Linked DNA regions of Drosophila melanogaster. The protein of the gene in region 3 interacts with the protein of the main gene of each other region in a pairwise test. Each region holds a gene or a part of one and is shown on either strand. Other genes may lie near its edges.

What was found.
Region 1: the proteins of mTTF (region 3) and Rab40 interact in a two-hybrid assay, tested with the Drosophila melanogaster proteins (one large-scale study listed by BioGRID).
Region 2: the proteins of mTTF (region 3) and BtbVII interact in a two-hybrid assay, tested with the Drosophila melanogaster proteins (one large-scale study listed by BioGRID).

What each region holds. Positions count from the first base shown.
Region 1 is NC_004354.4:12,459,009-12,465,542, reverse strand, and holds Rab40 (Rab40), read left to right. Parts: upstream 1-2,430; 5' UTR 2,431-2,676; intron 2,677-3,381; exon of another isoform or gene 3,382-3,488; intron 3,489-3,670; 5' UTR 3,671-3,674; coding exon 3,675-3,807; intron 3,808-3,863; coding exon 3,864-4,087; intron 4,088-4,331; coding exon 4,332-4,554; intron 4,555-4,959; coding exon 4,960-5,177; 3' UTR 5,178-5,747; downstream 5,748-6,534. Other genes in the region: CG42258 (uncharacterized protein), read right to left, coding at 55-294, 924-1,444.
Region 2 is NT_037436.4:3,146,768-3,152,313, reverse strand, and holds the start of BtbVII (BTB-protein-VII), read right to left. Parts: upstream 3,669-5,546; 5' UTR 3,627-3,668; intron 3,615-3,626; exon of another isoform or gene 3,577-3,614; intron 3,413-3,576; exon of another isoform or gene 3,393-3,412; intron 3,182-3,392; exon of another isoform or gene 3,154-3,181; intron 2,687-3,153; 5' UTR 2,332-2,686; coding exon 2,161-2,331; intron 2,100-2,160; coding exon 1,472-2,099; coding exon of another isoform or gene 1,457-1,471; intron 1,387-1,456; coding exon 1,142-1,386; coding exon of another isoform or gene 1,130-1,141; intron 1,051-1,129; coding exon 942-1,050; intron 1-941. Other genes in the region: Usp5 (ubiquitin specific protease 5), read left to right, coding at 4,269-4,782, 4,844-5,546.
Region 3 is NT_033779.5:14,345,964-14,350,850, forward strand, and holds mTTF (mitochondrial transcription termination factor), read right to left. Parts: upstream 2,828-4,887; 5' UTR 2,744-2,827; coding exon 2,335-2,743; intron 2,271-2,334; coding exon 1,690-2,270; intron 1,635-1,689; coding exon 1,392-1,634; 3' UTR 1,276-1,391; downstream 1-1,275. Other genes in the region: Send2 (spermathecal endopeptidase 2), read right to left, coding at 1-691; l(2)34Fc (lethal (2) 34Fc), read right to left, coding at 3,269-3,676, 3,746-3,817. UniProt on the Drosophila melanogaster protein: Transcription termination factor. Binds promoter DNA and regulates mitochondrial replication and transcription.

The DNA.
Region 1 (6,534 bases), on a different chromosome or scaffold from region 3:
GATTCGTTACTTTTGTGCTTAGTTTAGTTACAGTGTATCAAGTTTGTTACTTACTCTTCCTGCACCTCAATGCCGCTGTCATCCATGGTCCCCTTGGCATAGTCTCCACTGTAGCCACCGGCGAGAGGCTGTTGCGACGCCAGCGTCGACGCCAGCTGCGGCTGACCAGCGGCGGCAGCGGCGGTATCTGCGGCATCGAACCCAAAAGTGGACTCCATGTGCTCCGACAACGGCGTCGGCGTCTCGAAGACGAGCGTCTCCACCATCGAACCCTTCGAGGACCCAAAGGAGACGCTGTGGACACAAACAGTTAGTATATAATAAAATAATACCTATTAACAAATTAACTTAGCAAAATATACTCCTATATCCTTTCATTATAAACGATTAAAATATAAAAAGGATATTATACAAGATCAGTCTACTTAAGGCAGTAGACTCTAGCGGAAAAAGTGTAAGAGATTTCAAAGTATGTTTTCAAAAAAAAAAAAACAAAAAAAATTAAGACAGGAAACTTTCAGAAATCACGAACTTGTTAACTAGTGTTCATGTTACTGTCAAACTAAATCAATTTCATTTCAGGATAAATAATCGACAAGTAATCCCTTGAATACCTTTCAAGATATATAGCTGTGCTTTGTTGCGAGGCAAAATCGAAATTATAATCAATCGGTCAGGTTGCTTTTAAGTGATAATCACGAAATTAAAGACTTTCTAATACCTATTATAGAATTTTCGAAAATATAATGTAAGTTCCTTACTCTGGAGTTAAAATTATGGGAAAACTAAGAGACTTTAAAGATTGAATTATAGCTAATGAAGTAAGGAGAATAAGTACACTAACTAAACTATCACCAAGACAGTTGTATATAATGTATAAATTGAATAGCTTGAATAAGAGTAAGTAATTGTTGGAGATTTACCGTTTGAGGCCGACGCTTTTGGTGCCCAATTTGCTCAGTTTGCCGGGTTTCTTTTGGGGGCGTGGGAATTTATCGCTCAGATCGCTGGATATATCCTCATCATCAGCTGCTGTTGTTGCAGTTGTTATTGTTGTTGTTACCGGTTCTTCTCCTGTCGTCGTTGCTGTTGTTGCTGCTGCTGTCGCCGCATTGTTGTTGTTGCTGCTGCTGGCCTCGTTGTTTTTGCATTTGCTGCTATTCTTATTACTTTTATTATTAGCCATGTTTTTCGCACTGACCACAAGCGAACCATTATTGTTGTTGTTCACATTGTTGTTGTTTTGCTGCGTTGTTGTTGTGTGCACCAGTGGCAGCGACGTTGGCGGCGCAGCAGCAGCGACGCCGGCAGAGAATGCCGACGCAGGCAGCGGCGCAACAACAATCTCCTCGCTTAGCAAAAGCGTTCGCTCATCACAGTCGGCAGCGCCGCCGGCGGCGACGTCAACGTCGGCAGAGACGCCAGCAGAGCCGTTGGACAGCATTGCGGTTGCAGCAAAACGATTCGATTTCGATTTCGCGGCTAACGGTGCATTTCGAGGGGGCGGCGTGGTGGGCGGGGCCAGGGCCAGCATAGGTATATCTTTATATATATATATAGCTGCGCCACACACACACACAAACACTTAGTTAAATCGCAATTTGTGTGTGCAAAATAATGACAACCCAAAAAAAAAGCCAAACAAAATCAGCACTTGCACAAAGGCACACAAATATATATTTCTATATTTTTTTTAGCACAGTTAACGCGCACCTCTGTAAACAGTAATAACAAAAAAAAAAACAAGCAGCAACAGCTACCGCAACTGCGACGTCGACGGAGGCAGCGGCTGCGGCAGAGGCGTCGGTGACCTGCACTTTAGTTCCCGACCAGAAACTCGCGTTTATAAATAAATATATGCATGTGCATTTAATAAATCCGTTAGCGCGCGCTCTGTTGCTCTTGTCCTGCGAATTCGGATCTCGGATTTTTTCGGATCGGAGCGATACAGTCGGAACAATCGTGTGTGTATATTTGGCAGCGCTTCGAATTTCTGTTCTGTTCTGTTCCGTTTTGTTCGAACGCACTGGCGATGACACCCGGCCGATAGCGCGACTGTCCGATAAGCAGCACGCCAATTGCGATATCTAGATAGCTGCCTAGATAGTTTTTGTAAAGGTAAAAATCTAGGAAAAGTGCCAAACTATAAAGTATTTAATTCTTAAATTTCCGAAAATAAATAGTTAATGCATTCAGAATGAAAAATACTTAGTGGTAATAATATAATGTAGCATTTAGCTTAAAGTAAAATTGTTTCAATTTGATATATAAAAAGTTATGCTTAGATTTAGCACATAAATGTTTGCACAAAATAATAAAATAAAAATGTTTAAATTTCGCATATAATTGCAAGAACTACATTTTTAATATCTTGAACAACACTGCTTAGCCCATCCGTCGACTATCGATGGCTTATCGATATGCGCAAACTAGCAGTTCTTCCATCCCTATAGAGATGAGCGAAATTGCAATTTTCTGTTTTAATATTCGCAGCAGAAAAAACAACAAATAAACAGCAATAAATTGGAATATATGGGATATATAGCCGCGATTTAACTTGCTTAAATCGTAAGACTGAAAAAGCGTGTAAAGCCCGCCGAGGTGAAGTCGCCAAAGCGAGGAAACTCGCTCATCTCTATTACAAATACGAAAATGAAACTGCGTGCATTCTAAATGGTAAGTTAAACGTCCAGAAAAAACGGTTAGTGCTGTTCACTAAACAAAATACACAAATAACCGGCTATAATTAATTGTTTTCCAATTGCTGTGAGGAAAAGCAATAAACATTCCTCGGCATTTGCAGCAAAAACAACAATCAAAATAAGCACGCACACTAATACGCAAATGTTTTTCTCTATTTTCGTTTATTTCTCTTTTTGTTTGTAAAACAAAGTGCATAAAACGCAACAATTACACGCTTTAATGGTTTTGTACACTTCGATAAATTGTGAAATACATTTTCATGCAAAACCAAAACACACCCACTTTTTACCTGTGCGAATGTGTGTGTGCATGTGGAAAATCCTTTTACAGTGCGCGAAATGAAAACAAGTGCGAAAATCTATAAATAAGTGCAATGCTTATGTTTATAGTTTTTATTACCATGACTCACATAGAAAATTACTTTGTCTGCAAAAATAGAACGCACAAATATTGCCGGTTCAAAAATACCGGTTAGCCCGGTTAAGAAAATGCAAAAAAAAAAAACAATGTTTAAGAACCACAACCACTTTGGCCACAAAACCCTAGCCCACATTTAATTTCAATTAAAATTACGTAAAAGAAGAAAAAAAATGTCTCATTCAATGAGTAAACCCCTAGCGGTTATATTTTGTTAACTGAGTTATCTAAAAAAAAAAAACAAATTCTAAAATAGAAAAATGAGTGTGTAAGGTAATTTCCGGCATTCATATGGAACACTCTAGAGGAACTATGTATTTAAAAATACTTTGCCCTAGAAAATGTGTTGAGCTGCTTAAAAGTTTGAGGTACACACACCTTTTACAATCCATTTAAATATTCAAAAAACACGTCGTCACGTTTGTGACATCAAGTTCTAGTAATATGTAGAAATACCTTGGAAATTTAACTAGTTGCATTATTATTATTATTATTATTCAAATATATGTATCTATTTAATTACAATATTTAAATTTCTCTACCATGCCAGCCACATGGGAACCATGACCAAGGACTACGACTATCTGCTAAAGGTTCTACTGGTGGGCGACAGCGATGTGGGCAAGCACGAGATTCTCTCAAACCTGGAGGATCCCTCCACGGAGAGTCCCTTCTGCAGTGGGAACGGTAAGTGCTGGGTATATCCTTTGAACGACCACCGGATATGCAAGCCAATCTAATAGACTGCACATCTCATATCCTTCAAACGGTAGCCTACAAGACGACCACCATCCTGCTGGAGGGCAAGCGGGTGAAGCTGCAGCTGTGGGACACCTCCGGCCAGGGACGCTTCTGCACGATCATTCGCTCCTATTCGCGCGGCGCCCAGGGCATCATCCTCGTCTACGACATCACCAACAAGTGGAGCTTCGACGGTATCGATCGGTGGCTCAAGGAGGTCGACGAGGTCAGTTGGAAATTAAAAATGGGATTAGGAAAGGCAGCACATTGGAGAGATCTTTGTTACGACATTTTTACTAGCTGTAAATTAGTACTTAAAGTGTGGCTACTTATATTTTTACAAGATAGATTCACAATTAATACGACAATGCTGTAACGAAGATTAGATTATAGATTCCAATGTGTTTTCCTTTCTTGGTTTACCATTAATGCTTTCCATTATTAACTCCATATGTACGATTAATTTACAGCACGCCCCAGGAATTCCGAAGGTTCTTGTCGGGAATCGCCTGCACTTGGCCTTCAAGCGACAGGTGGCGGCCAAACAGGCCGAGACCTACGCCAGCCGCAACAATATGTCCTGCTTCGAGATATCGCCTCTCTGCAACTTCAACATCCGCGAGTCCTTTTGCGAACTGGCGCGGATGGCCCTGCATCGCAACGGCATGGAGCACATCTGGCGCAGCAATAAGGGTAAATATAACTAGGTTATTCAATGGGAGAAGGATAGTGCCTTTCGAGTTTAACGAACAGTAATTCATTATCTAGTTTGTGTAGACCAGGTTCAATTTCATTAATCTCTTCTATTTTTAGTTAAATTGTGAAAAAGTCATGACAAGGCCTTGAGGTCAATTTTGATTGAGCTCCAATTAAAGCGTTCATTATGTCAAGCCAATCATTAATCTTTTTCCGACCGTTGAATAACACTTAATCGCTATAATGTGTGAACTTTTGTTGATTCACAAATAACTAAAACTTATGAACTTATGAACTTATCAGATGAACTTTAGAGAAAACTCGAAATGCACTCTCCCCAGCAGAAAGACATGTATATTGTTCGTTAATTCACTTAGTAACCCACTTTGAATGCCATTGCAGTGCTGTCGCTTCAGGAATTGTGCTGCAGGACAATTGTGCGAAGGACGAGCGTGTATGCGATCGATTCGCTGCCGCTGCCGCCGTCGGTGAAGTCGACGCTCAAGTCATACGCGCTGACCACGTCCCAGTGCTTCAATTCACTGACCCAGAGCTCCAAGAGCAAGAACCGCTGCAAGACGCCGACGAGCAGCAGTCGGAATAGCTGTGCGATCGCGTGATCGTTGCCTTGTAGGCCGCCGCCCAGCCGCCTACGCCGCCACGCCCCTAACCGACATTAACTTTAATTGAGCTCTACTTATGTACTCTAGGCTATAACACACACACACACACACACACCCATACCATACCCATACCCATTACCATACACACATTCAACCCAGCTCTTTGGTTATATGTTTTGTTTTATTGACATTGATATTTGTGGTCAACAATGTTTACTTTTTACACAGTAAAGCATGCACCTTTTTTAGTTTTTAACCACCCCCATCCCAGGCCCATTCCCCCAACTTCTCTATTTTGCATTAATCTAATGTTGTTAATATTATTATGTTTGTATAATTCTAATATTTAATGCATCAAACACATCAACATATAAGAAATGAAAAACAAAAACGAAGAAATAACATCAAGTGAAAATCAACTTTTATATGGATAAAAAGAATTAAATTTTTTTTTTGTTTGTTTACCATTCGGATTAAAATATTCTTAGATATGTATTGTAATTGAAGCGAATTCAGCAAGAGAAGCACACACAAAGGCGAATTGATAAAAATAATTCATAATGAACTAGAAAACTGTGTTTTCATTTATTTGCCATCCCTTTCTGATTCCTGGCCAGCTGATTCCATCTCTTTCCATTTAGGTTTCTAATTTGTGGTAATTTAAAGTGAAAGTTCGCTGCATCTATAATAGGATCAGTCTATAAAATTATGCAACTTTTTTTTAAGTTTCTCTTGAAAAGCTGCGTTTTCATATTCATTTGGCATTTTTCTAGATGTTAATTCGAGTGTAATGTTGAGTAGAACCAAAACTAAAGTGGAAGAAAGTTAAGCGATTTCTTTGAGAGATTTCTTATATATATATCTCGAAAATTTGAAACAGTACTGAGATAGGGTTTTTCTGAAGTTAAAAAATATTTGAACAACGTTTGTTAGGATTTAACCAATGAAAATTATGCACATCTGCCACAACTCTTATTTAAGTAATATATTTGCATATATTTGGGAATATGCGGTTATTGCTTATAAATGATATAATTTTTATAATAATATGGAATATGGATAATATGGATTTTGGGCTAGAACCAAATATTTTCAAAAATTGCCATTGATATGTGTTGGAAAATGCCATCGTTTAGGCATAGGTATCTTTATAGCTAATGTATCTTGTATCTTTGAAGTATTCTTGTGCATTCATTTATTTTTATTTTTTATTACAAGATCATGAAGTTCCATAACTTTTGTAGAAACAATACCCTTTCTATTACAGCTTGAAGATCACTTGGGATTGCCGGTGTTTATATTCCTATCTTCCGCAGTCGATTTTTTGGGTTTCCAACATCTGCTTGGATGTTGT
Region 2 (5,546 bases), on a different chromosome or scaffold from region 3:
CTGGTCAGGTCAGGTTTGATCTTAGTTCAGTTGTGTTGGTACTGAGACAGTTTATAGGTTCTGAGGCAGTTCTTAGATAGGTACAATAGAGGTAAGTAGTAGAGGAAAGATTGCTAAGGCTAAATCATTATCATCGGAAACCGCTGTTTTGGAAATTCCCACAAAACAAAAATCAAAAAAACGCAAGTAAACGCAAATCGAGAATGAACAATTGAAAAACAAATCATAGATTTAGTTTTTGGAAGTTTTAGTTTTTGTTTTGGACTTTGTGCTAGCTCTCTCCCATTCCCAAGTTCAGGCAGGATTCGGTTTTTTGGAATACAATACACAATAATAGTTAAACATAGAAAATTTCGGCATTTCACAATTATTTCGTTGCACTTAGTCGGTAAATCAGTAATGAATAATCGGTATACTAGATCTCATATTTAGCTTTAGCATTCATTTCTCCAAGCGCTGTGTACTGAAATTGTTTCGAAATGGCACCGTTCGTGTGTGAGATATGCAGATGAAGTATGATTGTGGGCATTATTTCGATGAATCGAGAGTACACAGTGGTTCAGATTTCACATTGATTTGCTTAAGAGAACATAGGTGACAGTGCTTATCAGTTCAGTGAACCCCTAGTCAGTTCGCAAATGATACCAACATTGTAAAGCTATGTTCTTTCAGTCATGCTCGTTTCAAAAAAGTCAAGTCATTTCTGATCTATACACGTTTTCCCTCTTGACTCCTGCTTAGTCTATAGTGTGTCAGCTTTCTTTTGACTACGAATTGCAGTTAAGTTGTCCGTGATTTGTGTTTTTTAAAGTAATCAAGGCAAACAAAACTAAGAAACGATAAAAAAAAAGAATCCAACCTGGCGAATGAGATCCCTACCCGATGAACAATGAGCTTTGATGGAACAGTGTGCTGGCTTTTGATTTCCAATTGCGACTTACCCGAGTGCGAGGACTGGGAGTTCGGCGCATCGTGCTCGGATGGTGTGGTACCGCCGGAGATGTCCAAGGGCATCGTTTGGTTCACGCCGCCAATGTCGACTTCGGGCTTCTGCACGTGGGCACCGAGAAGAAAAAGAAAACAATTAGTGACTTTGCTCATGCGGACGAGGGTACAAGGTTAACGTGACCAATTTCATTACAATTTGCATGTGTAAGTGTCCGTGTCCATCGTCAAGATCCGAGTCCTGCGGCTGCTGCTCTAGCTCAGCGCTGGCCGACTCCTTGAGCAGCTTAGCCGCGTGCAGTGAGTGGCCGGCCAAGCCGCCGCCCGCACCAAATGTCATCTGGTTCATCTGGGCGAGACTGAGACCGGCGTTGCCGGCACCACTGCCCGCGTCCAGTGAGCTGTTGTGCTGCTCCTCCGCGTTGTTGCGATCGCCAGAACCTGCGTTATTACGAAAACCGGTTATTTTTTGAGACCTTACAATTTTGGATCTATCACGACGATGCTTTACCCAACTCCAACTCACCGTTATTCGAGGATTTGCGCAAGCGCTTGCGCCTGGTGGCCGGCGAGGTTCCAGCGCTCAAAGGCGACGGCGTACGTCGCATCTGGTGGTGATGCGTCTGCGCCGCCTGCGCCTGTCCGCTCTGCTGCTGCTGATGGTGGTGGTGATGGTGCTGCTGCTGTTGTTGCTGCTGCTGCGCCTGTTGTTGTTGCTGCTGCAACTGCTGCTGCTGCTGGTGGTGATGGTGCTGCTGCTGTGCCTGTTGCTGGGCCTGCTGTTGCTGCTGCTGCTGGAACTGTTGGGCCTCGCTGCTGCTCCACAGGGAGTCGCCGACGCTGCTTCCACTGCCGGCTCCCAGGCTGCCAGCCGAGTTGCCCGCTCCAGTGCCCACTCCCGCACCGCCCACCATCTCGGTGCCGTCGGTGGAGGACTTGCTATCCGACTTGGTAAGATTGGCCGGATCCGTTGGCATCTCCGCTAGGCCTTTGATCTTGAGCATCTCGGCGGTCTTGAGGATGTGCGGCAGCTGCTCCTGCGACACATTTACCTCGCCGTAGTACATAAAGTCCACCATGGTCTTTAGGTCATCGTACTGCACGTCCTTCAGGATGACAATGGGATGTTGGCACGGATTTGTGGTGAACAAAGCCTGTCGAACACATTTGAGTGTAATTCGTAAGGGATATACGCTGCGGCGATCTCCAACTTACCTGAAAGTACGAGCTGCAGGCGGATAGCACTATTTTGTGGGCCTGTAGTTGGCGACCCTCGGCTGCCAGGGTGACGTCCACCAGGGTGCCATTGTGCAGCAGCGAGGAGCACACGGAGATGAAGTTCGGCTGGTGGTTGTTCCACCGCAGGCAGAACTGCTGCACGGACATGATGTCGAGGGGTCCGGATCCGCGTCCGGGATGCGGATTTGGAGCTCCCTAAACCTCAATCTCCGGAGCAACCTCCTCCTCCTGCTCCCGCTCCTCCGCCTCCTGCTTCTTTCCTTCTTCGTAGCCAATTAATTCGCACTGATAACACTTTTTATCGCCTCCCGCTCGCCTCTATTGATTTTTATTAATTTTCCTTGCTTTCCGGTGTTTTGTTCGCTTTACTTTTTCGCTCCGACTTTTAATCAATTTAAATTTATGAACAATCGCAGTCTGTACATGTGTGTGTGCGTGTGGGGGGTCGGGATCACGGTTTTTTGGGGGGCGACGACTTCTATGCCGCACGCATCGCGAGTCACTGCAAAAAGGGGTAATAAAAATGGGGTTTAAATAAATCAAACATTATCGATGGTTACACAAATTGCTCAACAACAAATTCCACTCTCTCGCTTTCTTCCTCTCTCTCTCTCATCTGCTTTTCACAGCTGCGCGCTCTTCTCGCTTACAATAAAAAATCAAACAGAAACAACAACATCGGCGGGACTGCGTGTGTATGTAATTATACAGTCGCGAAAATGAAACACAACACACACACACACTGGAACACAACAGCCATACTTGTTGTTGTTGCTGCTCACTGGCCAAAGTTTTATTTTTGATAAAACCGAGAACGTAACGAAATCGTATAGCTTTTTGTATAGCCGCAGTGCTGTAGACCTTGAATTTTCTTTAATTCTTATGACGTAATTATATACGCGCCCCGCGCTCCTCCATCTCTTTCGCACTTAATCGCCTTCCCCATTCCCGTCTTCCTCACTCTCTCACCCACACAGACGACCGCCGACGACGTACTAATCGCTGCTTCTTCGTTTATTCATCGTATCGATATTTTCAGTTTTCAGTGTTTCAGTCGTATTTATTTATGTGCATGTCGCGCGTTATTTTCGTATGTCTTTTAGAGGCACAAAGATGATGCTCGAACTAGCCAAGCCGCCACATGTTATTCACTCGCTTTTCCCCCCACAGAATTCCTTTTCCTCTTGCTTTTTATCGCTTTTACAAACTTTGACTTTTTGTGGTAGGTTTTTGCTGTTGTATTTCTTCTTTTTCTTTTGCTTTCCAAAAACAAAATGGCGCGCAACAAATTTATGCGAGGGGCAAAACAACGCCGAAAACTGTTAGAGCGAGCTGAATTTCAATGCCTTTGACTGGCTCACTCTTTGCGCCAACTTTTTTACCACTTTTTACATTATTTTAATGCGGATTTCCTGGCGAAAAACGCATATGAAAATTCTTACGTTTTACTTCTTTATGCGAAAGATTTTTGTGACTATATGGCAACTTTGTATACAACGAGTTGACAGGTCGCTTAATAGTGTGACCAGTCCTAGATCAAAACTAGTATCCCAATTGTTAAAGATTGTCCCAAATTTTAAAATAATTTGTTTATTGTATTTAAATGGTTAACATTTGAATTGTTGTTTTAAAATGTTGACTTCGGTTATACATCTGATGAATCACAATCGGCGTTGCCACACTTTCCCCGCATTGTTCGTACTTAACGGAACCAGTTCGGTTCCCTTGGTGACTCGCGAATTTGTTGTTGGCTTTGGCTAGAGATGACAGTATTGAATAAACAACGATAGCCTGCAGCAGTCAAATTAAACTAATTGTGCTTATTGGGCGGCCAAATACGTAAATATCACTCAAAAGCCGTTATAAGGTACAAAAATAAGGGTAAGAATTGTTAAAAGCTGATTTCAACCAGTAAAACACCATTTCAACCCATCGATATTCGCATATCCATGCTCGCCGGTATCGATGCATTTTCCCATGTTCATCTCTAAGCAGCAGCTGCAAAAAAAATCAACTATACTATTTTACATTCGGTCCGTAAAGTTTATGAGAAAAGAGCTGCCTACAGGATTCCAGATACCGTTATGGAGGAACTACGCAAGCATTTATCCAAGGTGAACGTGCCATGCGCATCCGGGGCGGGCAGTCCTCCCATCTACAAGGACGAGTGCGTCTACTCCTATGACAATCCCGAGACGCCCACCGGTTTGTACGTGTGCCTGCACAGCTTTTTGGGCTTCGGCGAGGCGTATGTGCGGGAGTATGCCGACAAGACCGGCAACCGGGTCTTCCTCCACATCCAGCGGGTGAAGACGATCAAGGAGGGCGCCGACATGGAGGCCGAATGCGCGGAGTCGGAGGCAGGACCGGAACGGAAGATCACCCGCCTGGCCATTGGCGTCGAGGGCGGCTACAACGAGTCGGACATGGCCAAGAAGTACGAGATCAAGGACACGTACAGCATCGTGGTGGCTCCGCACCTGGATAAGAAGCTGCCCTATCCGGATCCAGAGCTGCCCATGCGTGTCACCCAGTCGGTGGAAGCGATCCTGGCCGCCGACTCGGCAATTGCCAAGTTGGAGAAGGCCACGCTGATGGGTGAGTTGCAGGATTGTTATCCCATGCTGACGAAGGTAGCCTAAAATCAATAATTTTTCAGGCACCTGGGATGGTGAAGTGCGTCAGGCGTCGAAGTACGCAGATAACCTGCAGCAGCTGGATAATGGCAAGAGGATTCCCCCATCCGGCTGGCAGTGCGAGAAGTGCGACTTGACCAACAACCTCTGGCTTAATCTGACCGATGGTTCGATCATGTGCGGACGCAAGTTCTTTGACGGCAGTGGCGGCAACGATCACGCCGTGGAGCACTACAGAGTAACGGGTTTCCCGCTGGCGGTGAAACTGGGCACCATCACCGCTGATGGCAAGTCGGATGTGTTCTCCTACCCGGAGGATGAAATGGTACTCGATCCACACTTAGAGCGCCATCTCTCCCACTTTGGCATCAACATGGCGGCGATGAAGAAGAGCGAGAAGTCGATGGTGGAGCTAGAGTTGGACATTAACCAGCGCATCGGCGAGTGGACGGCGCTTACGGAGAGCGAAAGTGAGCTGCAGCCTGTTGCTGGTCCTGGATACACTGGCATGCGCAATCTGGGCAACTCCTGCTACATAAACAGCGTGATGCAAGTGCTCTTCGTCATCCCAGACTTCCAGCAGCGGTTCGTGGGCACTGGAGCGGAACGCTATTTCAAAGAGTTTCCCAGCGACCCGGCCAACGACTTCAATATTCAAATGGCCAAGCTGGGAACTGGTCTGCAGTCGGGAAAGTACAGCAGTATTGCCGAGAACACTTTGGACAC
Region 3 (4,887 bases):
CATCGATAGCATTTAAGATCCATTCACGGAAATATGGGACACTAGTGTAGATTGAACTATACGTGCAATCCTTTGTACCCCCGGATACAACACCCACAAGTTGTTGGTCAAACACCAACGGTCCACCAGAGTCTCCTTTACAAGCCGCCCTTCCAAAAGATCCGGCGCATATTCTTGACGGTTCAGTTAATCCACAATAGTACGGCCATTGAATGTAAAGGTTTACTCCTTGAAGATCGATGGGATGTGAGTAATAAGAAGAACTTCCCCAGCCAGAGACGAAGGCAATCGATCCAGGCGGGGGATTTGTCTTGGCCAATGGAATGGGCTGAACTTGGTTTGTGAACTCAAGTGGCTTACTTAGCCGCACGATGGCGATGTCGTTTCCTAATCCCTCATGCGTCCTTATAGCGGCCACATCGACAACACTTCCATTGGAGTTCTTCAAGGCGGATCCTGCCCGAACTTGATATCCCTGGCCCTGGACGCAATGGGCCGCAGTAATGATGATATCTGCGCTGTAAATGGAGCCACCGCATAAATGTTTGCCATCACGTTGTATGGACACCTGCCATGGTGCCTCCTCGATTCCAATGGGTTGTCCACCGATAATGCGTTCTTCCGGCCGGATTACTGGTCCTGCGGACAGGGAATTGAGCGCCAATAGCAACAGGAAGCTTTGGATGAACATCTTGACCAGTTTGTATGATACTTTGAATTGCAGTGGCTTCACGTCCAAAGTAACCAGTCTTTTATACACAACTCAGTTAGCAATATTCTATTTGAACCTCAGTAATAGTTTATGTATCTAGATATAGAATATTCTCTATTCTTGTAAAGCAATCAAAATATTGAAAAATACTTCATTCGCTAAATATAAACATCATAAATAATTTAGCTGCCTTTTGCTTTCAAGAAATTTTTATCGCTAACGGTGAAAATGTGGAGGGGCAATAACATTTCTGGAATTTTCTAATTAACTAAGTTTGCAATTTGGTTTGTTCTGCGTTTATAAATGTTGAAAGAAAATTTCCAACTGATTAAGCCATCCGAAGTGGTAGAATGACTGCAGAGAGTCGTCCAAACTAAACAAACTAAACTTTCTGTCCGCAGGACGAGTAATCCGACTGGTGGTTAAAAAACCTATTGAAATCGAAAAGGTTCCCTGATTGGTTTCCTTACAATATTATGGAAACCTTACTTGTTAAGGGTCCTTTAAAAATGAAGATACCATCATAACAGCGGTCCCCTGGTCGTAATTAATAACGTTTTTTGAATATTGGCTTTTAATCGTGTTCAATTTCGTGGCAAAACTTTTGAAAAAAGTATCTTAACTTTACAACAACTTTTTAAGCTTTCACGGTGATGGCATCAGGTCATTCGTCAGTTCATCATCCTTCTGATACACTTTGCGGATTTCTTTCATGGCTTATCCAGTTCTGCAAAAACTTATCGTACTCCCTCCGGCTGCGGCAAAGAATTACAAGAGAGGAGGGTCGACAACCGTGCGATTTCAGTTCTTCCATGCGCTCCTTTGTGGTTTTCAGGCTGTGGCATAGAATTCGAGGATTTTGAGCGACCTCAAATCTGGTAAACTGGGCCTCATCGAGTAGGTAGTCTAGCACCTCTTTGATCTGAAGGCAAAATTGTATAGCTTATGATTGTTTGAGTTAACCCATTGTGACTTACCTTGGTAACTCGCACGGTGTGCACCTGCGGATGTTTGTCCATGATTGCCTTGGCTTCACTGGTGCTGAAACCAAGACGATGCGCTAAGTATTCCACCACGGAGGAGAACTCTCCCAAAACCTTCAGTTCGTCGAGAGAAAGCTTCAGGGAGCGCTGCAGTATTGGCTCCGGGCAGCGCACCATCCACGGCATGATCTTGTCCTTTTTCGCCCGCTTGGCGCGCTCCAAACGCAACTGAACAGACTTTGGAGTATAGCGAAAGGCCCATAGATCCTTGAGTACGTTTATTGGCGACACATTGTAGTCGATCATGTGCTGCAGGTTCTTTTCGAACATCTCGAACGGCATTTCCAGGATAAACAGCCTCTTCGATAGATATTTGCTCACAATATCGGGGCTGACATCCAGCTTTTCGCTGATATAGTAGACACGATTTCGCTGTGGCATTGCATCCCTCTCAGAGTTCAGAGCACCCACCAGTTTTCGAAGACGTGGAACAGTGAGGCGCAGGAAAGGCACAAAATGATTGATGTCCTTAAAGTCCATTGACTTGAGTAGCTGCATCTTTAGCTCCAAGCGTTCTGAATAGATAAACAAATAACCGATGATTTAATCACATAAAGGATATAAAGCAAATGAGCTTACTATTGTCCAGCGACAGTAGCCAAGGATACTCCACGAAGCTGCGCCTGCTAACGCCCTCTAGCTGCAGTGTGTCCATGACCAGAGTCAGTGATCTACCGCGGTAGCAGCGGTGCACCAGCTCGTCGCTGATTATCTTTTGGAGCTCAGCGTCCGTGAAGCGAAAACGTTCCCGCAGAGCTTCGAGGAGCACCCGCGTCTTGGTTCCAGTCTCCCGATCCTGGCGATAAGGCACATAATCGTTTTCCGCCTCGTTGCTACCTAAAGTGCCACTGGAGGTCAGTCTGCTCGGACTGGCGCGGTTTTCGTACTGCGAGAAGAGTAGGCGCCTGCTGCAGTGCATTGGGTGCATATTTAAGCCGGCATGCAGCTTGAGTGCCGTCTCAAAGCTGCGCAGAAGGCTTCTAATCATCCCGAATTTGCTTAATTTACAGAATCAAGACAGAAAATAAAGTTCTTCAACTTATAAAACAAGCGGAAAACAGCTGATATGTTGCGGCGATAAACAGCTGACCAAGTGGGCCAACTGAAAGCTGGAGTATACGACACTCAAACAATTATCGTTATCGGTTTTGAAAATAATGACCGTTATTCGGAACAGCAATTTAATAAATTTAGCATTTGTTTTCTAGGAAAATATAATAACTTTTCTAGGTGCAATTGATTTCATAATATGTTTAGGAAGTGTGCTGGTTCATACACAATAACATACACATACACTTTTTAAATATAAGTGTGAAACACTTCCAATATTTATTTTCAAATCTACTAAGCATTCTTAGACAGAGAGTCCCACAATTGAAATCACTCCCATTTTATCAACGAACTTTTTGATTTTATTTTCAAAAATACTACGCTCCAAAGCTAATCGGAACATTAACGCTAAACAAAGACTTGTAGGATTTTGAACAAATCATGAAAACATCTATCACAAGCACTACTCCACATCGATGTCTTTTGTGACGCGACCCACCCAGTAAACGAATCCGGTCTGCACCACGGTGGCCATGAACTTGACGTTGCCCTTGTAGCCTGCTGGCGGAATCCAGTCGAAGGTGATGCCGGTCAGCGGCTTGCCCTTTTGCGCACTCAGATGGGTGATGGTGTCGTCCTTGCCGGAGCAGTCCAAGGTCTGCGAGTGCACGGAGTCCACCACCTGGAACTGGCCGACGACGCGGTTCTGGCCATCGCGTGCCTGGATCATGAAGCCAAGGAACTCATCGCCGCCCAGCGTCAGGGTCAGCTTTTGATCCGAGCGCACATGGGAGGGTCCGGAGATGCTGTACGGCGGCTTGGTCACCTGCAGCTTGGCTCCGTGCTGGGGCGTCAGGTCACGACAGGCGGCCTTTGGGATAATGAAGATGGGAATATAAGGAATCTATCCGTCATGTATTTCGATGGGGCAGGTTCATACCTTTGGAGCACCATCGGAGTAGGCGTGGACACTGATGGCCAGGCAGGCCGCAAGAACCAACAAACGGAACATATCTGTTTAAGGGAAAATTAAAAATAATATCACATGAGTTGGAAACATCGCTTTAGTAACGATTAAAATCCAGTTGGTTGGCTTAATTATGCTACATCACTGTGAAGAACAGTCCACGTAGTGACGAAGCGCACCAAGTGAGTGTGCGAAATCCTTCCATTTTCCATAACCGAATATGCTTAAGCAGAACAAGTTTTAATGACACAAGTACTTGTCAATGTTTCTACTTTCAACTTCTAGTGCTTTCAAGTTGAATCCAATTACATATTAAAATATATTTACTGCCGGTCATTGTTTAACATTTTTAGATTCGTGCATGCTGCTTAATTGCGTTAACTAGTTTTTCATAAATTAATTAATTAACATTTCCACTCAAGTGAGACTTTTTTCACTGGCCTTGGCCAGTTTGACTTTGCTTAAGTTTTTTATTTATTTAGTTTTTTTTTTTTCCTTTTCAAAGTTTACACTTGTATACGTGGGCAGGCGCAAATATATTGAAAACTAGCTCCAATTATGCAGTTTGTCAACGCCAACGTTTATTATGCAGTTTGTTCGGTCCCAGTTGTCGCCATAATGGGTATATTTCTCTGCAGCCTTGACTGTTGACAGTCTGTGATTCTACAAGATTTGTGGATTAGGCTGCAGTGTTACTGTCTGATTTGTAATAACCAGTATTAGTGCCGAAAAAAAATGTCAATCAAAACATTTTAATTATTTACGGGAAACCACTCGAAGTGAACTTAACATTTCAATCACGATCGGCTCGTAAATCTTCAGATTCGCAGAATTAAGAAGGCGCAGACAAAAGCTTTGTTCAATATTGAAATTGGCCAAGATGCATGTTGATTAAACCAATTTTTAAAAAATCATCAAACTGGTTTTTCGGACGTAAACGAAAACTGTTTAAAGCCAAACCAGTTTGCAGTACATTTCCATAGAAGAGTAACTCTTTTTTTTACCGTGCGATAAAAATCGCCTAGAAATGACAAGTGACAATTGAAGACAACAGCCTAAGTACTTCCTCAAATCGAATTCTCAGGTTCAAGGTGGATTGGAGGCTTGTGGAGTTC